Ovis aries: one gene and its partners. The protein of the gene in region 1 purifies or fractionates together with the protein of each later gene. This does not show direct contact. Links are inferred from orthologs where the notes say so. Each region holds a gene or a part of one and is shown in the gene's direction. Other genes may lie near its edges.

Region 1 (5,754 bases):
GGATGGCCAGCGAAGTCCCTGTAACAACTCTTAAGTTCCTCCTGTGGTAGCAGCACACTTCTCTAGGCAGTGGCAGTCTTTTGGGGAAGGAAGTACAGAGGAGCACCGACTTTTGCATTGAAGAGTCAAATATTATATACTAAACGCAGTGAAACAAGCCCTGGGAGAGTCACTGTGACTTCCCAATTAGATCACCTGCAGTTTCCAAATTGGAAGATGGGCACAGTGATAACCTGAGTGTATCCAAATATGTTTCAGAATGTCCAGATTTGAAAAGAGGTGTGCAAAAATAAAAAATTAACGGAAGGTCATATTGAACTGTATTATAAGTAACAGCAGAGTAAGATAAAATATCTGGTATATAAATGAAGCATACAGTAAGTTCTAGGAGGACGTTTTGTCTGCTTTTGTTTTACCAAAAAGTCTAGTATTTTGTATTTTTAGGACCTATCAAGTAGCCACCACTTAACGGATCATTTCTTAGAATAACTGAATAACTTTAACAAGTAGGCAACTTACGGCTTCCCAGGTGGTGCTGGTGGTAAAGAACACGCCAGCCAGTGCAGGAGATGTAAGAGATGTGGGTTTGATCCCTGGCTCAGGAAGGTCCCCTGGAGGAGGGCTTGGCAACCTACTTGTTTTCTTGCCTAGAGAATCCTATGGACAGAGGAGCCTGGTGGGCTATGGGTCCATAGGGTAGCAAAGAGTCCGACATGACTGAAGTGACTCAGCACACACATGTAGACAGCTTAAGGAAAAAGATTCTGATTACTGAAGATCCAGGTAACTTTGACCATAGCACAGGTGATCCTGGGCGGAGAAAATAACCCAGGCCTGAGGAGTCCCAAGCTGCCCTCCTCTCCTCACCGCCAGAGCACCAGCTCCGGGAGCAAGTGTAGAACATCTTGTTTGTTGGGAACTGGCACTGAGGGAGGAGCCAGAGAAGCAGGAGTGATGGTCTCATGGCCACACACTGAGGCAGCTTTGGGCAAGGCCAACCCTCTTTGGTAGCATCCTACCCCAAAATATTTTTCTCCAAATTGTCTTTTTTTTAAAAAAAACCTTGGTTTGTTATACTGCCAGATATTTTCATTTGGAATAACAAACACCTTTTTTTAAAAAAAGTACATCTTGTGCTCGCCTTTCTTTGCTATTGCTTCATATCCCCAGTCTCACCTTCCTTTCAAGGTTTAGCTCAACACTATCCCTGTTGGAAGTCATCTTTCCAGTTGTGACTTCTCGTAGCACATAGTCTGGCTCGCACCACCCATTACTTGTGACCCTTTCTGGCCTCTGGACCCTTTGATGATATATCTTAGCCAATTCCGTCTGCAAACCCAGACCTGAGCCTGCCCAGTGCCTGGCACAGAACAGGCACACATGTGTGCAAATGAAGAAATAAGTCAGCAGCAGCAGCTATGGCTTGGGCAGTGGGGCGGGCAAGGCAGAGACTATCTTTCAAACACTAGCAGGAAGAACCAACGGCCTCCTCCTAAAACCCAGAAGAGGGTGTGGGGCTATCACTGAGAACCGGAGGAGAGGTGGGCGAGATTCATCTGATGAACACTTTTTATGAGGTGGTGGAAAAAAAGAGCACAGGAAGGAAGGTGAAGGAGAACCAAAGACAAACCAGGACCATTTACATTTGTTACCTAGGAAAGGGCAGAGTATTGTACTTCCTGCTCTCCCACTTGTATTGTATAGCCTGTTACTTCCAGGATTCAGCCACAAGAGAGTGTGATTAGAGTTCAGCTATGAGTTAAATAGGGCCTGGTGATTCAGGTGGAGAGCATCCTCACCCTTTGAGACATTTTTGTGGTTCCCCACCATTGATTTTGGCATATTTGGAGAACAGACTTGTTTGTGTTAAGAGAATGCCTGTACATTGACTTGACCTGCACAATGAGCTGTTTGTGATGTTCACACAGAAATCAGTGAAATCTTTTAGGATCAAGTGATAACCCCTGTTTTTTTTCCTCCTTTCAGGAAAATGGCAGACGGTTTTTCGGTAAGTGTTTTATGTCTGTTTTCCTACCTTAATATATATACATTCATGCAGGATGAGGGTTTTTTGTTTGTTTTTTAACCGCTCAAGTTTCCTGTTTAACTCTCCCACCTCGTGGCTTCCTCTGGCCTCATCTGTCCAATGAGGGCTTGTTAGGTGGAGTCTTGTTTTTGCAGCAACAGGTTTGGGAAGAAAGCCAGGCAGAGAGAGGCCTCACTAACAGTAACCCCTTTACCAAAGGCCTAGGACAGAAGCTGGTGGATTCTGCTGGCAGGAGCTGAGAAGCCAACTGAGCAAAGGGCAGTGTGGTTCATTCTGAGCAACCTGATTTTTTTTAACCCTAAAGTGCCCTCAACTCCTTCTCCCTTCCCAAATGCTGGAGTAAGAAGCAGCCAAAACGAATTCCTATTAGCATACTTATGTATTCCCCAATTCCCTAATGGAATGACACGTCACCTAGAGCCATGAGCTCTGCTCAGGTTTGTTTTCTAAATCCAGTTTGCTTTCCATCATCACGGAGCCCTCAGTTTCTCTCTCCCCCTCCCCCAGGACACATGGGCTCCCTTCACAGCCTCACTGTGTTGCCCCAACACCAGGTCTAGGGTTGTGTTCCCAATGCATCAGAGACAATCCTGGCAGATCATATTCAGTCAATGGAGAAGCCTTTACTGGGCATCTTCCATGTACCACCTGGCAGCGTGCTAAACACTGTAGAAAACAGGCAGGGAGAAAGCAGTCTCGTCCTGGAGAGAAAGGACACAATCCAACGCTGGCACAGAGTGTCGCAGTCTGTAAAGAGCCGTCCCAAATGTGGCCTCACTTGCTTGTCACAACGATCATGTGAAATAGGTCATTATCCCCATTTTACAAGCAAAGACACTAAGTCCTATACAGGCAACACGATAGCTCTGAAACTCTGGAGCTCTTGATCGATAACACTGGATTTCTTGATGGATGGCACTGAATTTTAAACCAAGTCTTCTGACTCCACATCGCAGGCTTCTCCCTGTGTACAAGGCAGCCTCTCTGGTACTAGCCTGGATGCCACTAAGTGGTAACTTACCTGGCGTACCCAAAGTGCAGTAGACATCCCGCAAAGGGAAGGCCAACACAACCAGGGCCAGCTTGGTGGCAGGTTTTGCAGCCCAAGAGTATACTGAGTTTGGTGACTTTTTTTTTTCCCATGTCAGTTAGAAAGTATGTGCTTTTACATAGAGAATGCAGATTACAAAAAGGCAACCCTCAGTGATCTGAGATGATGGGAGGCAAGAGTAAAGTGATAAAGCATGTATAATACCATAGTCAAATTTTAGTCTTAGGAATTCAAAACTAAAAGGTTGGAAAAACTTTATTGATGTGAATTTCGTATCTTCACCACATCCCTCTAATTCTTAGATCACATATTCCTGAAAATTCTGTTGTGATTGTTCTTCATCCTATAATTTTTTAAATGTCTTTTTTTCCAGCTTAATGATGCCTTAGCTGGGTCTGGAAAACCAAACCCCCAAGGTTGGCCTGGTTCATGGGGAAACCAGCCTGCTGGGGCAGGAGGCTACCCAGGAGCAGCCTATCCTGGGGCCTACCCTGGACAAGGACCTCCTGGCCCCTACCCTGGACAAGGACCTCCTGGCCCCTACCCTGGACAAGGACCTCCTGGCCCCTACCCTGGACAGGGACCTCCTGGGGCCTACCCTGGCCCAACAGCACCTGCTTATCCTGGACCAACTGCACCAAGTGCCTACCCCGGACCTGGGGCCTACCCACCTCCTGCCTACCCTGCTGCCAGCCCCTATGGCATCCCTTCTGGACCCCTGGTAAGATGGAGTGAATCATTTAGTAAACTTCAATGTGCTTGGGACCAAGTTAATAAAGAACACGGCTGGGACTTCCCTAGCAGTCCAGTGGCTAAGACTCCATGCTCCCAGTGCAGGGGGCCTGAGTTTGACCCCTGATCAGGGAACTAGATCCCACATGCCACAACTAAGACCCAGCACAACCAAATAAATAAATATTTAAAAAAGAAAGAAAATGGTAATTTTCTGGAGCGGTAGTGTCATCACTTTGTAGTGCTCTGACTGGAAGCTGGCGCTGGGCACTGGTGACCTGCAGAGGGCTTCGGGAGACCTGAAGCTTGAAACTCACCGCTTAGAGCCATTTTGCAAGGACCAGGCACAGTGTATGTTGGTTCAATAGAAAAATTAGTTTCCGGTGTTTAGTATATGTACTGTTAGTTTAAAGAGAAGCCAATATATGTTTTGAAGGCATCTGTAGAGCAGCTTTAATATAAATCAAGATCATAGTAATGGTTGTTATTATTACTGATAAACACTGAATATATAACATGTACCAGCTGAGTGCTTGCTTATACATGGATGCTCTCATTCAACTCCATAAGCACCCTGTAAGATACTATTATTATCGCCACTTTACAAATAAGGAAATAGGGTAATAAAGGGTTATACAACCTTCCCATGGTCATAGAGGGGAAATTTGGGGCAACCACAGTAATCTGGTTTTTAAAAACCTTCTAAAGATAATTTTGTGATCTAAGGGTTGAATTTTCATTTATATTAAAACTCATTTTAATAAATGAATTCTAACCATAAAACCCAACTCTGGGGGCTCCCGACACATCTCCAAACAGTCTAGCTGTGAGAAAAGATACATATATGAGAAAAGAGTTCAATAGCAGTGTGAGATCAGCCCCTTTCAGGAGTGTGATGGCACAGGGAATATTTGCTCTGCTTATTGGTCGGCTTAGAGGAGAGCAGAGAGACAGCATTAGGTGCATGAGAGGCGATGCGCAGGACCTGGACCACACACAGGTAGTCAGTTTAGACAGGAAAATGGAAATTCTGGAAGGAAGAGGCAGTGGGAAAGAGATTGAAGAGGAGGAACCCCAGAATCTAGTGGTTAAGTCTTGTTTTTGTTCAGTCACTAAGTCGAGTCTGACTCTTTGTAACCCCATGGACTGCATCACACCAGGCTTCCCTGTCCTTCCCTACCCCTTGGGGTTTTCTCAAACTCATGTTCATCAAGTTGTTGATGCCATCCAACCATCTCATCCCTTGTTGCCCTCTTCTCCGCCTGCCCTCAATCTTTCCCAGCATCAGGGTCTTTTCTAATGAGTAGGCTCTTCACATCAGGTGGCCAAAATATTGGAATGTCAGCTTCAGCATCAGTCCTTCCAATGAATATTCAGGGTTGATTTCCTTTAGGATTGACTGGTTTGGTCTCCTTGCTGTCCAAGGGACTCTCAAGAGTCTTCTCCAGCACCAAAAATTCAAAAGCATCAATTCTTTGGTGCTCAGCTTTCTTTATGGTCCAACTCTCACATTCGTATATGACTGCTGCAAAAACCACAGCTTTGACTATACAGACCTTTGGAATCAAAGTGATGTCTCTACTCTTTAATAGCTTTTCTTCCAAAGAGCTAGAGTCTTCTGATTTTGTGACTGCAGTCACTATCTGCAGTGATTTTGCAGTCCAAGATAATAAAATCTGCCAGTTTCCCACTTTTCCCTCATCTATTTGCCATAAAGTGATGGGACCAGATGCCATGATTTAGTTGTTTTGATTGTTGAGTTTTAGCCAGCTTTTTCACTCTCCTCTCTCATCCTTATCAAGAGGCTCTTTAGTTCCTCTTCACTCTCTGCCATTAGAGTGGTATCATCTGTATATCTGAGTGAAGTGAAGTGAAAGTGAAGTCGCTCAGTCGTGTCCAACTCTTTGCGACCCGTGGACTGTAG
Region 2 (5,754 bases), on another chromosome or scaffold:
TGCTGGTAGGGTAAGGCCATTGTCCCATTAACACGGGACTTCCCAGGTGGAGCACTGTCTGCCCACGACCTGAGGTTTTAAAGCCAAAAGTCCCGGGTTCCAGGGAATCCCGGGCAAGCTCTGGCGGAAGTTCGGTCACCCTAGTTGCAGAGTAGTGAAGAAAAGTCCAGAACTTAGCTCACAAAAAGCCCTCAGAAATTTTTGGTGTTACTTTTGACATGTAAATTAACGTGTATTAAAAGACTTGCCTTTTAACTGTACTATTCTGGGAATTATGACAGATTTATTCTGTCAGGTAACTACAGTCAGAACGTAGAATGTGTCCATCACCCCAGAAAAGTCCTCAGAACCATTTGGAGCTGAGCCTCTCAGGATTTTGATCAAGACAGGCATTGAGATGGGTGCTCAGTCCCTGAGTCGGAGAGGGACTGCTCAGCCCTGGGGAGCCTCCTGCCCCTCCACCAGGAGGGCCCATGTTGCAAGAATGTTCTGCAGACTGACCCGCGTCTGTCTGCCTCCTCGTGGCTTGTCTGCCTGTATCCTGTTTATGTCCTTGGAGCCATCACAGATGTCTCATGTTCTTCCCACGTGGTGGATCTGAAGCTGTACCAAAACAGCTCCCACAGCCCTGCCCCTTCACTCCAGGCTCAACACCTCTGGTTGCTTTAGCTGTCCCCGGGTAGGCCTCCGCAGACTCATACAGTGTCGTGTTCAGACTCAATTCAGAGCAGCTGATGGTGGGACCACACTGACGAATTTTTAACAATTGAAGCCCTGCTGCCTCTGCAGCCGGCAGTAGTGCTTTACTGGGGCCTCATTTTAATTCAGCAAAAGCATGATTCAGATCCCAGATGTTTGGCCTATAGATTAAATACCCACTAGCAAAATGTATCATTAAAGTTTCAGAGTGTCTTTCTGGGTGATACCTGGTACACCTGTGTAAGAGGACACTGTTGCTTTGTGGACATGTGGGTTTTGATGCCCAAATGGTGGGGTAAAGACTACTGGGACTTGGGAATCTGTTTTCCCTTTATGTTGGTTTTTGATGTTTTCCTTGGCACAATTCAAAGAGGACCAGCTTGTAGAGAAGATGATGCTCTGGCAAATTCTCTTGACTGTACTCTCCTTATCCACGGGTCGGGGCTGTCTGATCTTGGGCAGGTCAATGACCTTGCAGAGCCTGCTTTTCCTTCTTGTGCAGTTGGAGAGGTCCCTTCTCATAGGATCATTGTGAGGCCTTGTAAGCTGATAAGAGGCCAGTCAGTGGTAACTAATTGATGAGGATGCTTTTGCAGAATGTCGCTCTAGAAGCGAAGGAAGCACAGCATCACCCAGCATTCCCTTATTTATGGGGCCGATTTCATCTGGCCCAATTCCAGTTTCTTTCTGCTCTAAGTGGTCTCTGTTTTGTTTTTTTTGAGAGGGGGGTCTCTGTTTTGAAGATGTTTTAATGCTGTTTTAGACATGAAATCCATGCCTGTCAGTTCAGTTCATTGGTGAGTGGAAACAGTGCCACACCTTTGTGAGAGACTTCGCCTCTGTTAGTTGAGGATCTGAGAGCTGACAGCCCCACCTCCCGCCCCTCCTCCCGGGAGAGGGTGCACAGCTGCACACACAGCCTCGGCCGGGGGTCTCAGGGAGCACTTGTCTGTGTGCCTTGCCGTTGGTGACTTGTGGCTCCATGTTGGACCCTTGTATGTTACAGAATAATAACACTAACAATGTGTGCCCTGGGCGAAGTTTTAGATGTGTAGTGACTTAAAATAGTTTTTAAAATACTTTAATGATATGAAAACGTAAGCATTATAGCCAGCAACCTGTGTTCATGACTCTGTGTGTGAAGTGAATTTGCTGTTTCACATTTGAATGTTATTTAGAGAAGCGTCGGCGGTATGATGTAGTAATCACTGATAGACTCTATATTAGGTTTATAGGTACTTTACGCCTTTGGCCAAAAAAAGGAGAAGCTATGAATTTTTTCAAATAAAAGTATGAATAATAATATGTTTGGAATTTAGTGTTTTCACATTAAGTGTATTTTTCTAAGTATTTTTCCGCACCAGACTCAGCTCCATAAGGACAAGAGATGTATCTTTTCTTTATTTATGTGTGTTTCCTCAGCACTCAGAAACAGAATGAGGCATATAGTAGGTGCTCAGTAAATGTCTGTTGCATTTACTTTTTCTGTCCAAAACTTGGTTCAAATTTTATAGTTTTCAATTTTTCCATGCTCAGAAAGTTCAGATTTAAAATGTCAGTGTTAAAAGACAAAAATTATTCACAGTAGTTGGTGACTCAGTCAAATGGGTCGGGAGTTTATAAACTAGAAAGCTGACAGCTCCCATTTATATCCAAGTCCCAGAATTGCAAGCATTCTTAATGGTAATTTATTTCTGGTTTTAGAGAAGGGTGTGCAATTAAAACTTTTTTTTTTTTTCCTATTTTACCACAAAGGGCCTTAGAGCCTGTTTCTCCATTAAGAGTATTTTGGGTTGGGTACCTCTGAGACCTGGGACCTGTGCATGTTATAAATAGTGTAGTAAGGCAGGCCAGGGTGAGCGAGTGGGCAGGGCTGCCAGCACCGGAGCCAGGACCGGAAGGCCTCCTGGTACCAGAGCCAGCCAAGAACTCTGGACTGTGGGGCGGGCCGGAGCATGGAGGGGAGGCCTGAGGGCGGAAGTAGAGGGACGGGTGGCTGTACAGCGATTGGGACCTCAGGTTCTACCGCCAGGACCGCCTGGGGTCAGATCCCGGCCCATTCCCTGGCTGTGTTGCCCTGGGCACATTTCTTACCCTCTCTGTGCCCTGACTTCCTCCTCCTTGCGGCGGGGGGAGGGGGATGCTAGTATGAGTGTCCTGGTGCCTGATAGGGTGGTGATCAGGGCTCGCCAGTGGGCACTCTGTCATCTTCCCCCAGGTGACACCGTCAGGTTATCACCAGGAGCATCACCCGCTCCCCGTCTCGGCTTTTCCTTAAGAGAAGAGCTGATGTCTTCTCTGCTGTAACAGAGCCCTCCCTCCCAGTCACACCAGTGTGACTGCAATACAGTAAACCAGCTCGGTTTTGTAAGAGTTTTGTGTTGGTCATCGAGGCTTGACATTTGGTAAATAGCCTAATTTAAGGCCCAAACAATCGGGACAGTGGTCTTTTCAAATGCTCACCCGGTGATGTAGCTGATGTAGGTGTCACCAGCTTCAGATGAAGCTGCAGGCTTCCTCCACACCACAGGACCAGTGGCCAGTGTGACAAAGCTGGGGATGAGGTCGGCCACCTTCCAGACAGCGCTGGGTGATCCCACCGTGATGGCGGCCAGCATCGCACTCTGGCTAGGAAGCGCTTCCGTCTGCTGATTCCGGACGTCTCCCTGTTTTGAGGAGTAATTTGGGTGGCCACATTGGGTAGGCGACGATTAGTAGGTAACGGAAGGGGGTTTGAGCAGATTCAGTGCAGCAAGCTCATTTCCTATCCCCAAACCTAATTTGTTACCAAATAACTGATTTCTGGGGGTGGAAGAAAACTAATTCCTTCATTTTATTTCCCAAAGTGAAGGCATTGGAGTCTTTCAGCAATCTTCTAAACACAGTCTGTTTGATTCATGTAAGATGTCTCGAGGAGGGCCATTCCCGGAAGATAAAGTGGAAGATGTGAAAGCTCTTGTCAAGATTGTCCCCGTTTTCTTGGCTTTGATACCTTACTGGACAGTGTATTTTCAAGTGAGTCTTATATTCAGGTCTCATTTCCTCTCTTCCCCCCACCGTGAACACTGCCCCGGCACTCAAGTGCCTGGGTTCCCTGCTTTCCTTGCCATAAGTCTCCAGGATCTTGGAGTCTTGATGTTAGTTATGGACTCATTTTTGTGGACTTAAATGTTTTGAAAACCTTTTTAAAAATGAAGCTAAGAATGGGCATACCTCTGTTTTTCCAGGCCCCACCTTTTAATTTCTCAGTGGGGTAGTCGTTACTTCTCTTTTAAAGTTCACCATCAGATGACTTTTATGGTGGCCAAGAGATTGACCTGCCCATTTGCCAACCTGACCTTTGCGAGTCTCATCACAGAGTACTCTGGGGGCGGGGCGGCTCGCTGCAGGCCTGTGACAGCCGTGCACGTGTAATGACACTGCTTTTTACACCCAGATGCAGACGACGTATGTTTTACAGAGTCTTCATTTGAAGATTCCAGAAATTTCCAGTATTACAACCAATCCTCATACGGTGAGAACAATTGAAATTTTGTGAAAATTGTCATTGGGGGTTTACGTGACAGAATTTCTTCTGCCAGTCACAGATACTTTGTAAATGATATAGGTAGCTTGAACTAAACATGTTCCTATTGAAATGGAATTTTTGCTCACTTCTGAAACTATCTTTCTGTTGGTTATGTCCTTTACTAGATTAAACTGACTTTGTGGTGGTTATTTAGTCAAGAAATCGTGTCCGACTCTTGCGACCCCATGGACTGTAGCTTGCCAGGCTCTTTCCAGGCAAGAACACGGGAGTGGGTTGCAGTTTCCTTCTCCAGGGGACCATCTGGATCCAGGGATTGAACCTGCGTTTCCTGCTTGGCAGGCAGATTCTTTACCACTGAGCCACCTGGGAAGCCCAAACTAAGTTGCTACTGTCAGTTAAACATGAATATTTGACCCGTTTCTTCCCCCCAGAAAGCACAGAAAACCCAAATCACATCCCTTTTAGAAATGAAAGCCTTTCCTCAGATCCAGTGTCTTGAGACAGACTATTTTCCTAGGAGGTCATACTTGTACAAATGAGCTGTTTTTGAAATAAGCTTTTCCCATTTAGACGTTAGTTGTCAAGTAAGCAGCTGCTGACACCGCAGAAAAATAAGCCCGTGTCTTCTGCATCTCCAAATTCTAGTTTCCGGCAGCCTGGCTGACCATGTTTGATGCTGTGCTCATCCTCCTGTTAATTCCCCTGAAAGATAAACTAGTCGATCCCATCTTGAAACGAAATGGCCTGCTCCCATCATCCTTGAAAAGGATCGCCGTGGGGATGTTCTTCGTGATGTGCTCAGCCTTCGCCGCAGGTGAGAAGCCAGCTCCGTTTCTGCTCCTACCTGCTTCCCGTTGTGGGTGATTCAGAATATGGTAGTCACTCATGTGTTCTTTAGGAAGCGTGTACATATAAGGATTATTTTATTAAACTGGAGTAGTATATGAAGTTTAAGATTTTTCTCTGAGGATTTGCTCTTTTACGTTTTTTAAAATATGTATTTTATTTATTTGGCTGTGGAAGCTTTTTGGTTGTGGTAAGTGAACTCTTAGTTCCAGCATGGGTTTCTAGTTACCTGCTGCTGCTGCTAAGTCACTTCAGTCGTGTCCGACTCTGTGTGACCCCGTAGACGGCAGCCCACCAGGCTCCCCCGTCCCTGGGATTCTCCAGGCAAGGACACTGGAGTGGGTTGCCATTTCCTTCTCCAATGCATGAAAGTGAAAAGTGAAAGGGAAGTCGCTCAGGCGTGTCCAACTCTTCACGACCCCATGGACTGCAGCCTACCAGGCTCCTCTGTCCATGGGATTTTCCAGGCAAGAGTACTGGAGTGGGGTACCATCACCTTCTCCAGTAGTTACCTGACTAGAGATCAAACCCAGGCCTCCTGTATTGGGAACCTGGAGTCTTAGCCACCTGATCACCAACGAGTCCTTATTTTTTTTCCTTGAAGAATTGTAGCCAGTGAAATGCTCTGGAAGATGACTTTTGGATTGAGTCAAGGGAGACTTATTGTCTCTTACTGATTT
Region 3 (6,352 bases), on another chromosome or scaffold:
GTGGTCAGGGAGTCCCAAGCCTCCGAATTTCACCGAATTTCACTCACAGCTGCTCTTTTTTTTTGCCTCTGACGAGCTCTCAGTTTCTTGGAAGATCCCCCGCCTTTGGGCAAACCAACACAGAAGTCATCGGAGTGACTGACATGGTTAGGAAAGATGGCCCAGTGAGGTCACACCCGGTGCCGCTGAGCCTGGAGGCCTTTGTCATCAGAAACACAGGAGCGTTTACAGCACTTCTCATTTCTGTTTCAGCCCAGGCCTTTGATTTCCACAGGGCGGGGTTTCCAGAGCTGGGACCATCACACCCTCCATCTGTCTGTCTTTCATCACCTTGTGTGTGATGGATCTGGGGACCGTGGTTCCCACTGCTCCACTCCTGGCCTCCTCCCAGCCCTTCTCACGAACTCCAGGCCCTCACTTCTCATCCACCGCTCAGCGGGGCCGGGAGAGGAGCGTGCAGATCAAGGCAGCATCTCCCCACAAAGCCGCAGTTGTCCGTCCATTTCCCTAAAGTTCCCTGGCTTGGGGGTGTCCCCACGACCACAGACGAGGCTGTTAGGAAGCACAGCCCTGGTTGGCCTGCCACTCAGTGTCCCTGAAGTCCATGCCGTCCCCGCCTGGAGCAGCAGCTCTCCTTCTGCAAAGATCAGGAGGCCCCACAGTCCAGGTCCTGCTCTGCCCGCGTGAGCTGAGTGCCTGAGGTTCTCTGGAGGCGGTGCGGTGGGCTGGGGCAGCCAGGACTCCCATCCCGGTTCTCTGACTCTCTAGCCAGGGAGGGGACCTGTGGGAGGGCTGGGGGAGACTGGGAGGGGGGTGCCGCCTCCCCCATCCTCAGTCTCCTCTGCCAAGTGGAAGTGGGAGGTGGAGATCCCACCGCAGGGTGGGCTTCCCAGGGTCAGGAGGGATACAGATGCCTGGGGCCCAGCGGCTCAGCGTCAGCGTTGTTCTGCCCAGTCCCTCTCCGTGCCTGGCCCCCTCCCACATCTCCCATGAAAGAGAAGTGATACCTGCCAAGGCCGGGGCTTTGGTGGGTGTGGGGACCCAACAAGACAGTGATCGGAGGGCCCCACCCAGAACCGGGCGGGTAAGAGACAGGGCTGCCCCCACCCAGCGCTGCCCCCCCCGCCCCCGTCATTGGAATGCCACCTGGTGACTGGGGCCCACAGTGCTCCCCACGGAGCAGCGAGGCTAAGCCATTCCCACTTCCGAGTCGGGTTCAGTTTTACTCCCCGGCCCCGGGGCAGGCAGCATCTCGAGAAGGGCCCCTCATCTTTTGTGTGCTGAAAAATAAACAGCTCTCGGTCTCCTCGGATTTCTACTCCAGAGGTAGGTGATCTTCCCTGGTCATCCCTGCATGGACAGGCCGGCCTCGGCCCGTGGGATGGGCTGCCAGCCTCCTCCCTCGCCTCTCACCTTCGTGCAGATGCCCATGGGAGCTCCAGCCCCACTCTAGGCCTTTGCAGATGTAGAGGCTCACAGGACCCAGCCCTCTCTTCTAGGGTCTCCTAATTAAGGTGCTGTGTGCATTAGTAGAAGGAAACGTGGGATGTGGGGAGGGGTGGGGGAAGGCAGAGGACACAGCTCAGGGGGCCTGAGGCTGCCTGGGGTCAGACAAGACTGGTCTAGAGAGCTTTCCAGAACGGCTGATCTCTGAGTTAAGACGGAAGGAGAAGCCATTGCTTCACTACACCTGGGCCAGTTACTTCCCCAAGCCTCAGTTTCAGATCTTGTAAAAGAGACTGATGATACCTGCTTCAGAGGCTTCAATGAGACGATGAATGTAAAAGAACCAACAAATACCTTGTCCCTCTAAGCCCCCAGGAAACAGTAGCTGCCTGCCGTGCCCTTTCTGTTTCTCTGGTGGGTAATGGGAAGTCCTGCACCCAGGGGGAGTGGAACAGAAAAACCCAGAATTAAAATGCTTCCTGCAGGCCCTGCCTCCCTAAGGTCCTCAGACATGTTCTCCTTGTCCTTGGGTATTGCAAAATTAGATGCATTTTCAAGGCCCTTCCCCAGAGTAATTTTCACTTGTTCTCGTTTCATTTTAACAGTGTTTAGAGCTCCTGTGCTATGGCAGCTGATGGGGATTCTCTGTGTCAGACAAGGTCCCAGCCCTGATACAACTCACAATTTGGGGGAGGGGGAAGGAGACAGATGTTAAAAACCAGCATAAATAAGTCACAGACTGCAGTAAAACGGGTTGCCATGATCGATAATTTGGGTTCTGCTCGGGGTGGCTGGGACATTTGAGGGTGTGACGTTTACGCTGACCTCTGTCTGCAACAGGAGCCAGCACGGGAGGAACAGAGACATGTCCAGACAGAGGGAACAGTGCTATAAAGGTCTCGAGGGCAGGAGACACTCGGGGAATCCGAGGAACAGAGGGAGGGCGGGAGAAGCGGCAGCCTGAGGCAGGGAGGTGGGAAAAGGGGCAGGGTGGGCAGGGGCCACGGGGGACCAGTAAGGGGGCTGTCCCCACAGAATTGGGAGCAAGGGTGGCAGGACCAGAGTTTCCTGTTGAAGGCTGGGCTCTGGCTGCAGAGCAGGCGGTGAGAAGGCAGGAGGTGAAGCCTTGGGAGCTCACCGAGACTGTCACCCCAGGTGTCACTGAGCCTTCTCTGCCTGTTCCTTCATGCATCTGTGAAGTCAGCTATGAGAGGGAACGGGAGTGGTCTGGAAAGCTGAGAAAAAATGTATTAACGCGGGGGCTTCCAGGTCCCACCAGACATGGAGGGTCCTTTGGGCAACTGCTGGGTAGGCTCTTCTGGGACCTTGAGGGGCAGGGAGAGAGCCTGGCGTCCAGAGCGCCCCACCTCTGAGGGAAGGTGGAGGAAATGGTCCTGTTCCTGGCTGTCCGCTCTCCCCAAAGCTGTTCCTGTTTTGGAGGTAAGATCACACCTTGGAGCCTGGAGCCAAGCACAGGCTTCCCTCCAGCATGCACAGAACATTTTTCATTCTAAGTCAGGAGAGTGCTCTGGAATTTTCTGAGATCATTGTGAACTCTGGCTCAAAGACCACTGAACTAAAGGAAGGGGGAAATGAGAAGGGAGGCACATGCCATTTTTATTCCGTGTGTGTGTGTCTGTGTGTGTGTGTCTGTGTGTCTGTGTGTGTGTCTGTGTGTCTATGTGTGTCTGTGTTTTCCCCCAAATATTTCTAGCTCGCATGGGGGAGGCCGCTCTTGGCGCAGCTAAGGGTCAATGGCGAGAGAAACCTCTCTTGACTTTTGCGGCCAAACTAGGGGCCCTTTCCTAATACCTGCCTTTTGGCATCTGCCACCACGGTTTATAGAAGGAGGACTTCATGTTTCTTAGAAGGAAGGGTGGCCGCGAGCCCCTTCCTGCCTGCAAGCGGGAGGGGCCTCTCCCCGACCCCCACCCCGCCCCCCAGCCTCTGGGAAGGGGGAGAAGGCTCCGTCTCCCGGGTGACTGTGGGGGGCGGTCTCCCGGCGCGGCGCGGGAGGGGGCCGGAGCTGCGCGGGCCAGGCTCCGCCCTCGGAGGTGGTGCGAGGCCGGGCCCAGCCCCAGGGCCGGCCCTCCCCGGCCAGAGCCGCGGGCGCGCGGCGGCGGGCACCCGGCGGGGAGCGGGCGTCGCGGGCGCACCATGCGGAGCCTGTGGCCGCGTCCGGTGGCCGCGGCGCTGTCGGCGCTGGGGGTGAGGCGCGGGGTTGCATAAGCGGGGAAGGGGCGGGGGTGGCGGAGGGAGGCGGGACCCCCCTCGCCTCCCCCGGCGCGGGCCTGGCCGTGGGCCGGTCCCGGTGTCCCGGCCGGGGCGGGGCGCGGCGGCGGCGGCGCAGGCGACGGGTGGCCGCTTCCCCGTTCTCCCCATTCGGGAGTGGTGAGCCATGGAGGCGCTAAGAGAGTCGGTGCTGCACTTGACTTTGCAGATGTCGACCTACAAGCGGGCCACGCTGGACGAGGAGGACCTGGTGGACTCGCTGTCCGAGGGCGACGTGTACCCCAACCACCTGCAGGTAGGCGCCCCGGCGCTCTGAGCGCCCTCCCCAGCCCTGGCCGACCCGGCCGTCCTGCCTGCCACCGGGGCGTGAGGGGGCCCGTGCCAGCCCGCCAGCCCTTGGGCTCCGTGGGTTAAGAAAAGCCTGTTCTGGGTTAGCAATACCCCTGAGGCGCTGGGCTCCCCAAAGGGCCTCCCCGCCCCACCTTCACGCATCCCCAAACCCTCCGGACCACCTGCTACTGGGTTACAACTCAGGCGGCCAAGTGGAAGAAGCATCCTGGAGGGGTGAGCTGGTCCAGTTCTCTCTTCAGAGGGAGGAGGCCAGTCCCTGAGTGCTGAGACTTGCCCAGAGTTTTAGGCAGAGCATAAAATCCTCCCAGTTGTAGCGTAGAAAGTCCCGGAACCCTGTCAGTCCTGGGCAGACAGGGGGTGATTGGTCATCCTGTCTGGTGGACGTTACCCCACATTTCCTCCTCTTCTTCCCCCAAACCCCGCGTGTCCTGGGGGTTGGAGCCCAGCCTCTGCTCCCTCTCTCCCTGCCCCTTCCAGCCTCTACTTGGGAAGCCCAGTTCCTCCCCCACCAGGCTCTGCCCCCTGGGGCTCAAATGTGCCCACCACCTCTGCCTCCCGGAGGGACTGAGCTGGGATGGTCCAGACCAGGACCTCAACCCCGGCTGGGTGTGAACTGAAACAGGTGGACCTGAGGAATTTGGGAATTCCGAAGGATGCCCAGGGGGCCCTGTGACCTGACACCTGGCGAGCAGCACAGTCTAGGAGGCTTCTGCCAGGCTGACCCGGGGAGGCCTGCTGCAGGGACTGCTATCAGTTCAGAAGCCGCCCCCAGAGGGAAAGCGTAGGCTGTGTGGAAACCTGGGCTGCCAGGCCCAGTTCTGCTCGGCGCACCTCTCAGAAGCTGGGATCATACTAGTAAAGGGAAACGGCACTGATTGACACTCATTCAGTAGGCCCTGGGGAGGCCAAACCCGGCCCTGAGCGGTCTGCACACACTGGAACGGGACTCTCTCACCTACATCGTCCCACTCAGCCTTCAGGAGCAGCCCCGTGAGTTACTGTCCTCACAGCGCCCTCTTACAGATGAGGAACCTGAGGCTCTGAAAGGGGAGACAGCTTGCCTTGGGTGCACTGGAGCTAGAATTCTAGGAGTAAGAAACCAAACCCAGTCTGTCTAGAGCCGCTTCCCCGTGGACCTTTCTGCAGAGGCTAAATCCAGCAGGAAATTAGATTCCCGTGGCAGGCGCTTTTGCCTTCCCGAATCAAAACAGAATCTAATCAGCCGTCTTTTTCAGTCTCATCTTTCACAGAAGGTTCTAAATATATCAGCACAAAAGCGTTTCGGAATTCACAACGAAGTAGGGTGCTGTGCTGTTATCATCTTGTGGCAGCCCGCATGGGTATAGACTTTCTCAGGCCACAAAGTGACTCGTCAGCCTGAGGCCGCCTGGCACAGGGGAGGCACCCGGGGCTCTGAGACGGGGTGAGGGGGCCCCAGGTGTGAATCTGACACCGCCTGTGATCCTGGGCGATCTAAGCTTCTCTTCCTGCCTCTGCACAATGGGAGTTAAGAGAATGACTGTGATGCACGTTTCGGGGCCTGCCAGCATTGTTATGTTTGTGATCGTGAGGTAAGGACTCTTGCGGCTGCGTTACACATGACCAAGCTGAGTCTCAGAGAGGTTAGGGACATTCCTGTGGTCACAGAGCTGTCATGCGGTTGGAATGCAGTGTTGGTGCCCCGACACCAAACCACCCAACGGGGTATATCGTCCACTTTTACTACAGGAAAAGCCCAAATGCTTGCCCCAAGGATTTGGAGGCATTTCTGTAGGTACCCAGCCCGGCTTTCCTTGAGCCTCCACGACTTCCCCAAAGCAGACTAGCTAACGATTGTTCTTATAAGAGTCGAGAACCTTTTCATCTTATCTTACAGAGTTTTCTAGGAATTTTATGTCTTTAATCACAGGGAAGTTTTCCAGTATAACAATTTTGCATACTAATTTGTGAAAAAAAGAGTCAAGTATAAAAGAAATTTACAGAGACAGTAACCCCACCACTCAGAAATAACTACTTCTAGTTTTTTACATTTGCTTATATATTTTTTATTATAATTGAGCTCATTCTACATCCATAACATTTTGTCCTACTTTTTTCATTTAATGCCACTTCATAAGCATTTTTTTTGTGTTGTCAGAAAATTCTGAAACATCAGCTGTACCTCAGTTTTAAAAATACTTCCAAGGAGTTCCTTGATGGCTTAGTGGTTAGGACTTGATGCTTTCAGTACTGAGGGCTGGGGTTCGATCCCTGGCCTGGGAACTAACATCCTGCAAGCCAAAAAAATGAAACAACACTTCCGAAACATACTGCCATTAAATAT
Region 4 (5,754 bases), on another chromosome or scaffold:
CACTCCCAAGTTCCCACATACAAAATGTCATATAGACACAATGACTTTGCATTGAATATAGATACTTGTGCTCACTCTGGCTTTTCTTTCACTAAACCAGGTTACCTAGATCTTTCTTGAACCCAAATTTTCTAAGTCCTGGAGCCTGGTCCTTATATAGGTAAAAAAGGCTCAGATCTCTGAAAACATGTCAAATTATGAAACTAAGTAATACCAAAAGATTGCTATTTTTGACTAACAGCCAGGAAATTTGACTACACCAGGAAATTTCAAATTTTGTTGATGGCAATCAAGTATCTGTAATGAAAGTCACTAAAACATAGAAATCTAGAGAAAAACACTCTAGGGAGCAACTGGACATACTTCCACTACCTATAAATGAAAATGAAAGCTCAGAGATAGGTACAAGAAATTGAACATTAATATGTAGAATCAATTATGTTTGAATTTCACTCATCTGTATGTAGTTACCACTACCAAAGTTCAGATAGAAATATCCCTTTCTCCTAAAACAATTTTAAGGGGAGATTTGAGGTTTAATTTTAGATACTAACTCAGCAGTGGCCACAGGACTGGAAGAGGTCAGTTTTCATGCCAATCCCAGAGAAAGGCAGTGCCAAACAATGTTCAAACTACCACACAATTGCACTCATTTCACATGCTAGCAAAGGAATGCTCAAAATTCTCCAAGCTAGGCTTCAACAGTATGTGAACCAAAAACTTCCAGGTGTTCAAGCTGGATTTAGAAAAGGCAGAGGAACCAGAGATCAAATTGCCTGCATCTACTGGATGATAAAAAAGCAAGAAAATTCCAGAGAAACATCTGCTTCATGGACTGTGCTAAAGCATTTGACTGTGTGGATCACAACAAACTGGAAAATTTTTGAAGAGATGGGAATACCAGACCACCTTATCTACCTCCTGAGAAACCTGTATGCAGGTTGAGTATCAACAGTTAGAACCAGACATGGAACAACGGACTGGTTCCAAATTGGGAAAGGAGTGCATCAAGGCTGTATACTGTTACCCTGCTGTTTTAACTTGTATGCAGAATACATCATGCGAAATGCCAGGCTGGACGAAGCACAAGCTGGAGTCAAGATTGCTGGGAGAAATATCAATAACATCAGATATGCAGATGATACCACCCTTATGGCAGAAAGTGAAGAGGAACTAAAGAGCCTCTTGATGAAAGTGAAAAGGAGAGTGAAAAAGTTGGCTTAAAACTCAACATTCAAAAAACTAAGATCATGGCATCCAATCCCATCACTGCATGAGAAATAGATGGAGAAACAATGGTAACCGTGACAGATATCATTTTCTTGGGCTCCAAAATCACTGCAGACGGTGGCTGCAGCCATGAAATTAAAAGATGCTTGCTCTTTGGAAGAAAAGCTATGACTAACCTACACAGCATATTAAAAAGCAGACATTACTTTGCCGGCAAAGGTCCATATAGTCAAAGCTATGGTTTTTCCAGTAGTCATGTATGGATGTGAGTTTGGACCATAAAGAAGGCTGAGCACTGAAGAATTGATGCTTTTGAACTGTGGTGTTGGAGAAGACTCTTGAGAGTCCTTTGGACTGCAAGAAGATCAAATCAGTCCATCCTAAAGGAAATCAATCTGGAATATTCATTGGAAGGCCTGATGTTGAAGCTGAAACTCTGATACTTTGGCCACCTGATGCAAAGAACTGACTCATTAGAAAAGACCTTGGTACTGGGAAAGATTGAAGGTGGGAGGAGAAGGGGATGACAGGATGAGATGGTTGGATGGCATCCCTTGATTCAATGGATACAAGTTTGAGCAAGCTCCGGGAGTTGGTGAAGGACAAGGAAGCAGTACATGGGGTCACAAGGAGTCAGACACGACTGAGTGACTGGACAACAAAAATTTGCTGTTCTTAAGATATACTGTAAGAAATACTTTGTTCAAACTTGAAAAAAAAAATAGGAATATATGGTATAGTATAGTTGTTACAGTATATACTGTAATTATAGTAATTTTTAGTTACTATTACTGTGACTTATTGTTTTTATTATTTTATTCTTAGCTTAAATACATTGTTTAATTTCCTGTTGTTTTTTAATACCAGGAGTCTCCCAGTTGCAAGAAAAGGTGCTGTGTCTAGTGCTCTCTACATGGCATGGTTAGAAGCTCTATCCAAGGACCTGCCACCAATTCTCCTAGTCCGTGGGAATCATCAGAGTGTCCTTACCTTCTATTCTTAAGTGTTTTATCTGCACAGTGGACAGCCCTCCAGACGGTACTTCAGTGCCTAGTGAAGTAACTATCACTGAAATCTTCAACATCACAATGGCGAACTGTGACTTTTTTTCACTATTTCATTGATTTGAAAGCACACAGGGAAGTTGCTCCATTGATATATGTGTGGAGACTTCAGTTTTAGTCAATTCCGTATTTCAGTCTTAGTGAATGATGATTCCTTGTTGGACTGAAGCTTGTGAAAGTAAAGTTTTTCCTTTGCTACTTGAATAGCAATAAAAGTATGTTATTTTTTGATTGATGAAAGGAGTACAAAAAGCCTTTAGCCTTGAGGTGCCTTCTGAAATTAACCAAATTTCATCCATATATCCTCTTTTATAAATTTGTAGAATGTCAAACTTTGCCTTCCACTATTTTTATTTCTAATCTTTCCCACCTTAAAATGGACACCGCTTTTCTTTTTCCATTGACCAATTAGTGTTGAGTACTGTATGTTTTCTATTACTTTTGTAAATGTGTTTGTTAGCTATTAAAGGCGAGAATTAGGGCTAGTTAGTGAAAATGCAAGGGTAAAACTGAGAATCGAAAAGTGACCCCAAGGTTAGGTTTGCATTAGGATGTATAAATGTAGATCTAGGGGGAAAAAAGCCCAATAAACCTTTTTTTAAAAACCTCTAATTGGCTGTTATTTATATCTTTTTTGATTATTATTATTTGAATCCTTAGGGGAGGTTGAAGATTTATCCAGTACTTCTATACACCATCCTGAAAAATCACATATTGTCATTCTTTAAAGAAAATCTTTAAGACCATTTATATTTATTAGAAGAAAGATCTGTCCTAATTTAGAGTTTTCCTCAAATCTGAGGGACTTTTACAAAATGCTAAAAGATTTTCCTGGTTAAAATTAGACAAAGCATTGTCATTTAATAGAATATTTCAATAAATATATGGAATATCACTATATCATCCTTTTTTAAATCATTAAAATATTTAATGTTTCATCAAATGGTTAAATGGACCACTGGTTTCTTAGTGAAATGTTTTTAGGCTTAATTCATTCAACTGTCAAGTAAATAGTCTTAATTAATATACTCAGGTTTGAACAGATTATTCTGGACATTTAAATTTAATCCATTCTTAATACTTTAAAACTTCTGTGTTAAGAAAAACTGCCAGTTTGTGCTTTTGAAAAGTCTGTTTTGACATCATAGTCTACTAGTACAATTTGGACAGTGCATATGTACTGTTACTAAAAGCTTTATATGCAATTATTAATGTGAAGTTTTTTGTTTTTTATTCAAGGAAGGATTTCCTAGAAACATTTCAAGGGATTGTATGTCTACATATCTGTATGTGTGTGTGTATATATGTTTATGCATACACATATGCATATGTGTATTTATAATGACACAATGGTTTTTTGTATTTTAAAGTGTTAAGATTTATCATATTAAATTTTTTGTTTATGAGTTCACAGATTGAAAGACAGGTTTCATGGAGAACAAATGTGATCACTGGAAGGGCATGTAACTTCACACAGTTATCATTCGATTAGGAAATGGAGAATGTTTCACCTAAAGTACTCTTCAGTGTATTCACTGGTATAGGTTTCACTGGTGAAGAATTTATGTAGGTGTTCATGAATCTCGATAAAAATCTATAAAATTACTACTGTTGTTCAGTAGTGCAATATCTTTGCTGCATGAGTATGAACTAAGTTAATATCATAACAGAGATCTGATAGTAATTTTAAATTCAGAATGCTAAGAGAATGAGGTAATTGTTTTCCTAAAAACTTTTTCCTATGTTATAACTCACACCATTGTACCATTTTTTGGAGGTTTTGTACTGTTTAAGAGGAAAGACAGTGAAAATGTCAGATTCAGTAAACAATGTCATGTCTCAACTTTTTAAATGGATAATAGGGCATAACTGAGTGCTGCTATCTTGAAATGTGCACAGGTACACTTACTTTTTCTTTTTTTAAGTTTTTCCCATTCAGGAAAACCTCGTTGTGATCTGTACTGCAGGAACCAAATGTCATGCATCATACATATGTGTATAAAGTACATTAAATATATCTAAATATACATAATGGGGGAGGGTAATATTGTCTGTGAAATAACGTAAGAAGCTTTTCACTTAAAAGGAAATGCATTACTTTTACTTAACACTAGATACCAGGTCAAATTTTTCAAGGTTGTTTTTGTGCTCTGATAAATTGTAACAATTAATTCCTAGAAATGTTAGCTAATGTTGAAGCTATTCTACTCTATTTCATTTATGCTGAATTTGATTATTTTAATGCCAAAAATTTTAAGTTCTAATCATTGGTGATAACATGGAAATAAACAGTTATGCAATGGCATATGACCGTTCATTATTTCTCTAGGTAAAAATTCAGTGGGTTTAAAGAATGGTGGTGTTAAGCTGATTATTAACAGTTAATTAAATCACATATTTATTTGTCACATTACTTCATTTGTATTTTAGGTTTCCTTTTACATTCTTTTTTTATGCTTTCTGACATTACATATTTTTAAAGACTATGGAAAAATAATTTAAAGATTTGAGCTCTGGTGGATGTTTACTAGTTTGAAAATGTAATATTTTGATAATACTGTACTATAACTGTCACACAAATGCTTTTCTAATGTTTTAACGTTGAGTATTGCAGTTGCTGCTTTGTACAGAGGTTACTGCAATAAAGGAAGTGGATTCATTAAAACAATTTAATGTCTATTTATTTTATCCATTTTATAAATCTATATCAACTCTGTGATTTTTACCTCATTTATACAACTTATTTCATGGATGTCTTGAGTTTTTTAAAATGGCTTTTACCCTAATATTCATTGTTTGGAAAAGTTGTTTGAAGTTGTTCACTATCCTTAAACCTTTGGAGTAATCACTAATTTTCTTGACAGATTGAGCTATATCAGACACAGCTCATTTTGATATTTTGTAAATCATTTAACTTTTCTAATTCTGCTTTATTTGTCTTTTGGTTAAATCATGTGTTTATGAGTGAAGAAAGTAGAAATGGATTCACAGTCCCTGAGTTTAATCTGATTCATTTCTTGCTAAGATTTTTGGCAAAGCTAATTTACAGTTTTACAAAGCATTTTCCGTTTACCATTTGAACATTACAGTAGGTGTATTATATGTGCAGGACAGCCGTTTCTTTCTCTTCTACTCTTGAGAAAGTAGCTTGGAGAATTGTAGCGAGTTTCCCAAGATCATGTGATAAATCAACAAAGGATACTGGTCTAGAACACAGTTCTTTCATCTTCACGCATATCACCATTATGCAGTCACTGCTGCCTGATCCATAACTTAGTTACTGGTTTAGAATGGTCATTTCCAAACTACTCATACTTACCTGCCCAGGAAGTTTGTGCTCAGGTAATACAAATTACAGTTACAAGTGTATACTGGCCACAGGCTACCTAATAGATCTGAAACAAATATAAGTGTCCATTGTATGATCTTTGCTTTTTGCTTATTCCTCATAAAGCTGCTA
Region 5 (5,754 bases), on another chromosome or scaffold:
GGTGGTCTTCGTGGGCGTCAAGTACGTCAACAAGCTGGCTCTGGTGTTCCTGGCCTGTGTGGTGCTCTCCATCCTTGCCATCTACGCCGGCGTCATCAAGACCGCCTTCGACCCGCCCGACATCCCGTGAGTCCTCCGCCGGATCTTGGGGCTGTACCCGCTGAGCGTGTAGGCCGGGCCGGGGGCTGGGCCGTGTCCACAGCCGTCGGCGCTCTGGCTGGGTTGAAGACGGGCTGGCAGGCCTGGGGCCCGTCTGGCAGCACCGCACTGCTCCCGGCCGAGGCCTGTCCTCACTGTAGCCCCTGAGCAGGCTCCTTCCTTATCCCCTTCGGGATTGACGGCGGCAGCCCCGGTCACCGAGCGAGCCCCGATGCTGCCCACATGGGGCTGGTCCGGGGGCGCCTGGTGGGGGAGGTGCTGGCCCTGAGTCCCCCACCCCCAGCTCCTGTGTGCCGCTGTGCACCTGTGGGCGAGCTGTTTGCACCATGTCAGACACCCCAGGGCAGAGGGCGGTGGTGGGACAGACCCGGGCATGCCGCTCGTGGACACCTCTGTGGCTGAGTGGAGAGTATCAGCAGCTCCTCCCCAGAGACCCCTGAGCTGCGCTGGTTACAGAGGGGGACAGTGAGCAGAGGCTTTTCACTGCCCGCCCCCACCAGGGTCTGTCTGCTGGGGAACCGCACGCTGTCCCGACGTGGCTTCGACGTCTGTGCCAAAGTCCACACCGCCAACAATATCTCGGCGACCACCGCACTCTGGGGCGTTTTCTGCAATGGCTCCGCGGACAGCACTTCCTGTGACCAGTACTTTCTCCACAACAACGTCACCGAGATCCAGGGCATCCCGGGTGTGGCCAGCGGAGTCCTCCTGGGTGAGTGTCCCCCCCGGTGAGTGTCCCCCTGCTGAGTGTCCCCCCGGTGAGTGTTCCCCCGGTGAGTGTCCCCCCCGCTGAGTGTCCCCCCGCTGAGTGTCCCCCCCGCTGAGTGTCCCCCCCGCTGAGTGTCCCCCCCGCTGAGTGTCCCCCTGCTGAGTGGCCCCCCCAGTGAGTGTCCCCCTCTGGGTGAGTGTCCCCCCGGTGAGTGTCCCCCCTGCTGAGTGTCCCCCCCGGTGAGTGTCCCCCCTGGTGAGTGTCCCCCTCTGGGTGAGTATCCCCCCTGCTGAGTGTCCCCCCTGGTGAGTGTCCCCCCGGTGAGTGTCCCCCTCTGGGTAAGTGTCCCCCCTGCTGAATGTCCCCCTCTGGGTGAGTATCCCCCCTGCTGAGTGTCCCCCCCAGTGAGTGTCCCCCCCCCGGTGAGTGTCCCCCTCTGGGTAAGTGTCCCCCCTGCTGAATGTCCCCCTCTGGGTGAGTATCCCCCCTGCTGAGTGTCCCCCCCGGTGAGTGTCCCCCCTGCTGAATGTTCCCCTCTGGGTGAGTATCCCCCCTGCTGAATGTCCCCCTCTGGGTGAGTGTCCCCCCTGCTGAGTGTCCCTCCCTGGTGAGTGTCTCTTCCTGGGTGAGTGTCCCCCCCTGAGTGTCTCCCCTGCTGAGTGTCCCCTTCTGGGTGAGTGTCGCCCCCGTTAAGTGTCCCCCTGCTGAGTGTCCCCCCCACTGAGTGTCCCCCCTGGTGAGTATCCCCTTCTGGGTGAGTGTCCCCCCTGCTGAGTGTCTCCCCTGCTGAGTGTCCCCCGCTGGTGAGTGGCCCCTTCTAGGTGAACATCCCCCCCAGTGAGTGTCTGTCCTCTGGGTGAGTGTCCAGCAGGTCCCTGCTGGTGGGCATCCACGCCCGCTCCTTGGGGCCCTGTCCTTCTGTCCTCCTGGTGGCCGTGTGACTGCGTCCCCCATTGCTGACCCTCTGGGCCCCCCGGGCTAGTGCTCCCCAAGCTTAGACGCCGTGGAGGGGGCAGGTCAGGCCCCGGCGTCATGCCCCCAGCTCTTGGCTTGCGGAGCAGCAGTCGGGGGTTAATGAAGAGGTGGAGGGCGGCGGTCGGGCAGCGTGTTGGTGCGCAGCTGCTGTCCGTGATGGGTGTCTTCTTCAGACTCCGGCACTGAAGCCTTTGCTTCGGCTGTCAGGAGACGTTATTTTCTCTGGGCTCAGTTGCTCTGAGTCCGCGCCCCTGTCCAGGCAGGGTCAGCGTTGGGGAGCTGAGCCCTGGGCCAGTACTGGGGTCTTGTGAGCCGCCCTTGCCCCCGCAGACAACCTGTGGAGCGCGTATGCAGACAAGGGGGCGTTCGTGGAGAAGAAGGGGGTGCCCTCGGTGGCCGTGCCGGAGGAGGCCCGAGCCCACGGCCTGCCCTACGTGCTAACCGACATCATGACGTACTTCACCATGCTGGTCGGCATCTACTTCCCATCCGTGACTGGTGAGGCCCGAGTCCGGGGGTCCAGCACACGCCGCCCCCCCCTTCCCCTCCTCCGCCGCTGTTTCTCCTCCCGCCGGTCAGGGCCCCCCGGCTCCCACACACGCCCCCCTCTCTGCCCCCGCGGGTCAGGGCCCCCCCTGCCCCCGTCCCCATCCCTGCCCCCGCGGGTCAGGGCCCCCCCTGCCCCCGTCCCCATCCCTGCCCCCGCAGGTCAGGGCCCCCCCTGCCCCCGTCCCCGTCCCTGCCCCCGTGGGTCAGGTTCCCCCGTGCCCCCCACCCCCGTCTGCCCCCGCGGGTCAGGGCCCCCCCCCCGGTTCCTTTTGGCTCAAGAAATGAGCCGAAGGGTCTCCACTCCCCATCTGTCCCGAGTCGGGGGCCTGGGAAGCTTTGTGGCATCAGGCAGGTTCGTCCACGCTCTCCTGAGAGGCCAGGCTATGCAGAGAAGCCCCGTGACCTTGGTGCTGGCAGCGGACGCGACCGCTGTCGGAGGCCGCCGTCCTCGTGCTCGCGAGAGAGTCCGCTGAGTCTTCCTGCAGGGACTGGGGTGCAGGCCACCCCCACCCCCACGCGTACGCACACACACACTTGTCCGTAGGTTCACGCGTGTGAGTACACGCACACACACCTGCTCCTGGGAAGCCCTCAGCCTCGCCATGGTCCCCTGGCCCCCCAGCCAACTGAGCAGCCTGTGGTGGTGTGTTGGTCCCTCCTGCTCCAGGCTCCCCAGAGCCGGTCCACACACACTGGGGAGGCTGGCCTGCTGGGGACCGCTCCCCTCCTGCCCGCGGCTCAGAGCCGGGGGTGGACGGGCATGTGTCTAGCCTCCCCGTGGAAGTGGGTCACACCTCACTTAGGCGGTAGTTGGGCTGGGGTCCAGCCCCTCGGGGGTCCTTCTCCCCGCCTGTCGGTGATGAGGGCATAGGAGCCTCCCCCGTGGGTGCGGGTGTTTCCACGCCCCGTGGCACCGGACCCACAGGCTCTGCTCAGGCCTCGCCCGGGATCACAGGCGCTGACAGACGTGCGTCCGTGAGGACGTGCTCTGAGCTCAGGTGGACTCTAGAGTTTATGTGCTGGACAGAGCGATGCGGGTGGAGGTGGAGGCTGCTCCCTGCAGGGGGTGTGAGGCTGAGGCTGGGCCATGCACTGACCCAGGCCTGGCCTGGGGGTGAGTCAGCGTTTGGCAGCAGCCTCCAGGGACTTTCTCACTCCCAGCTGCGGGGATTAACGGCGTTCAGGGGACGAGGTCCGAGCTGGATGCTCACAGAGGCTGGCTCTGGCATTGGTGCCCGGGGCTGAGCCGTGCTCTGCTCTGTGCCGTGACTTGGTTCACGGCCGGGCGGCTGATCCTGCGGACACTGTCGGGGACCTTAGGGTGCCCACCCGCGTGTCCTGCAGTCTCGCGGCGTACGGTGAGGTCCAGGCCAGTCTGTGAGGCCCAGCGTGCCGACAGCTGCCCCGTGCAGCCTGGGGTCTCTCCCATACTTTGTGAGGAAGCCCCCCTGCCCCCCACCGTGCTTGGACTCTGCCCGACGGGGCTGGGCGGGCGGCCTCTCCCAGGTGGGCCCGGGAACCATCACCACTCTCTGTTTCCACAGGCATCATGGCGGGCTCAAACCGCTCCGGGGACCTCAGGGATGCACAGAAGTCCATCCCCACGGGGACCATCCTGGCCATCGTGACCACGTCGTTCATTTGTATCCTCGGGGGTCAGTGTGGGGGCCGGGCGTGGGGGCCCAGTGTGGGGGCGAGCCGGGCGTGGGGCCGAGCCGGGCGTGGGGCCGGGCGTGGGGGCCCAGTGTGGGGCCGAGCCGGGCGTGGGGCCGAGCCGGGCGTGGGGCCGGGCGTGGGGGCCCAGTGTGGGGGCGAGCCGGGCGTGGGGCCGGGCGTGGGGGCCGGGCGTGGGGACCCAGTGTGGGGGCCGAGCCGGGCTTGGGGGCCGGGCGCCTGTACCGCCCTCCGCTTGTGGCCGCGCCCTTGGGGCCTCCTCCAGGTGCCCCCACCCCTGCCTCCAGGCAGTGTCGGGCTGCCCTGACCGCACCCCCGCCCTCGGAGGGGCTGGGCTGGCCTTGCCCTGACCCCTGGACTCCAGCCTGGGTTGGTGAAGAGCGTGGCTCTGCCTGGGGGCCGCACGTGAGCACACGGCTCTGTGGTGCGTGACCACGTGCAGCTGTGTGTGCGCTCGGCGCCACGCTTTTGCCGAGCGGGGGTCCCTGGTGTCGCCGTGCCGGTGGGGCCGTTTCTCCCGAGTTCACGCCTCCCCAGCTGGTGAGGGTTCCCGCTTGGTCCCAGCAGTGGTCGCGACGAGGGCCAGGCCCGTCCCGACTGACCCGAGGTGTTCCGTCCAGGGGGGCCGCGACCCGAGTGGGGTGGGCAGGCGGGGGCTGGTGCGGGCCCGCCTGTGGCCAGCGTGTGCTGCCTGCCGCGTCCTTGACCCCAGCTACAGACCTGTCCTGCATCGTGCTTTTCGGCGCCTGCATCGAAGGCGTGATCTTGCGAGATAAGTACGTTTCGCTCATGGCTTGCGGGAGCTCCTGGGCCAGCTGGTTTCTTTGATGACTAGCGTTGAGACTGGGGAGGGCAGGGTGTCCAGCCTCGCGTGTCAGGGTGTCCCAGCGGCCAGCGTGCTGGGGTCAGGCCTGTGCATCCCTCCTGTACTGGAGCCTAGAGCCCACACCGCGACCCTGGCCTCCAGGAGAGCTGGGTGCAGGGGCTCCGGGGGGCTGTCACGCCCTCTCGGAGGCTGGGAGGCGGTCTCTGTTCTCAGCTGCACTTTGGAAACTCTTGCCCCCTCAGGTTCGGGGAGGCCCTGCAGGGGAACCTCGTCATTGGCATGCTGGCCTGGCCGTCGCCCTGGGTCATCGTCATCGGCTCCTTCTTCTCCACCTGTGGGGCCGGCCTGCAGAGCCTGACCGGGGCCCCGCGGCTGCTGCAGGCCATCGCCCGGGACTCCATCGTCCCCTTCCTGCAGGTGAGCGCCCCCCATCATGTGTGAGACTCCCCCCCCGCCAGGAAGCCTGCCTCTGAGGGCCTGGGGTCTGCCCCTGAGCGCAAAGCCGGGGGACGTAGGTCCCCGCCTCCAGCCTGGCCGCCCCACCCCGAGCCTGTGTTCTCGTCTTGCTCTGTGTCTGCCCCAGGCTCTGGGTTTCCCATCCCGGACCGCATGCGGGAAGGAGGTGGGGGGTAAAGCTTCCTCCCAGGAGCCACGGTCCCCATGGGGCCCTCCCAGGCTGTGCCCCCAGCCAGCACTCGACGGGAGCCCCGGGCTCCGCGCTCTGGCCTCTCCTGGCTGTGGCTGTGTGGGGTCCGTCCTGGCGTTGCAGCCCTGAGGCCTCCTTTGAGCTGAACGCAGTGTCTCTGCCTCCGGCCCGCACATGAGCGTTCTTCCGGCGCCTACCCCCTGCTCCCGGCAGGTG

The links.
Region 2: the proteins of LGALS3 (region 1) and SLC15A4 purify together in Homo sapiens (affinity purification with mass spectrometry; 3 studies listed by BioGRID and IntAct, counting the BioPlex papers as one, with this or other methods). This does not show direct contact. The link is inferred for Ovis aries from reciprocal best matches to the Homo sapiens genes LGALS3 and SLC15A4.
Region 3: the proteins of LGALS3 (region 1) and ECE1 purify together in Homo sapiens (affinity purification with mass spectrometry; 3 studies listed by BioGRID and IntAct, counting the BioPlex papers as one, with this or other methods). This does not show direct contact. The link is inferred for Ovis aries from reciprocal best matches to the Homo sapiens genes LGALS3 and ECE1.
Region 4: the proteins of LGALS3 (region 1) and SLC12A2 purify together in Homo sapiens (affinity purification with mass spectrometry; 3 studies listed by BioGRID and IntAct, counting the BioPlex papers as one, with this or other methods). This does not show direct contact. The link is inferred for Ovis aries from reciprocal best matches to the Homo sapiens genes LGALS3 and SLC12A2.
Region 5: the proteins of LGALS3 (region 1) and SLC12A7 purify together in Homo sapiens (affinity purification with mass spectrometry; 3 studies listed by BioGRID and IntAct, counting the BioPlex papers as one, with this or other methods). This does not show direct contact. The link is inferred for Ovis aries from reciprocal best matches to the Homo sapiens genes LGALS3 and SLC12A7.

What each region holds. Positions count from the first base shown.
Region 1 is NC_056060.1:65,684,620-65,690,373, forward strand, and holds part of LGALS3 (galectin-3), read left to right. Parts: intron 1-1,986; 5' UTR 1,987-1,990; coding exon 1,991-2,008; intron 2,009-3,471; coding exon 3,472-3,819; intron 3,820-5,754. UniProt on the Homo sapiens protein: Galactose-specific lectin which binds IgE. May mediate with the alpha-3, beta-1 integrin the stimulation by CSPG4 of endothelial cells migration.
Region 2 is NC_056070.1:48,375,891-48,381,644, forward strand, and holds part of SLC15A4 (solute carrier family 15 member 4), read left to right. Parts: intron 1-3,545; coding exon 3,546-3,714; intron 3,715-4,135; coding exon 4,136-4,213; intron 4,214-4,873; coding exon 4,874-5,042; intron 5,043-5,754. UniProt on the Homo sapiens protein: Proton-coupled amino-acid transporter that mediates the transmembrane transport of L-histidine and some di- and tripeptides from inside the lysosome to the cytosol, and plays a key role in innate immune response.
Region 3 is NC_056055.1:245,113,557-245,119,908, forward strand, and holds the start of ECE1 (endothelin-converting enzyme 1), read left to right. Parts: upstream 1-2,364; 5' UTR 2,365-2,727; coding exon 2,728-2,886; intron 2,887-3,545; exon of another isoform or gene 3,546-3,603; coding exon of another isoform or gene 3,604-3,654; intron 3,655-3,886; coding exon 3,887-3,973; exon of another isoform or gene 3,974-6,352. UniProt on the Homo sapiens protein: Converts big endothelin-1 to endothelin-1.
Region 4 is NC_056058.1:23,540,408-23,546,161, reverse strand, and holds the end of SLC12A2 (solute carrier family 12 member 2), read left to right. Parts: intron 1-2,097; coding exon 2,098-2,233; 3' UTR 2,234-4,962; downstream 4,963-5,754. UniProt on the Homo sapiens protein: Cation-chloride cotransporter which mediates the electroneutral transport of chloride, potassium and/or sodium ions across the membrane. Plays a vital role in the regulation of ionic balance and cell volume.
Region 5 is NC_056069.1:71,334,014-71,339,767, forward strand, and holds part of SLC12A7 (solute carrier family 12 member 7), read left to right. Parts: coding exon 1-126; intron 127-659; coding exon 660-871; intron 872-2,173; coding exon 2,174-2,341; intron 2,342-3,936; coding exon 3,937-4,035; intron 4,036-4,784; coding exon 4,785-4,842; intron 4,843-5,134; coding exon 5,135-5,309; intron 5,310-5,751; coding exon 5,752-5,754. UniProt on the Homo sapiens protein: Mediates electroneutral potassium-chloride cotransport when activated by cell swelling. May mediate K(+) uptake into Deiters' cells in the cochlea and contribute to K(+) recycling in the inner ear.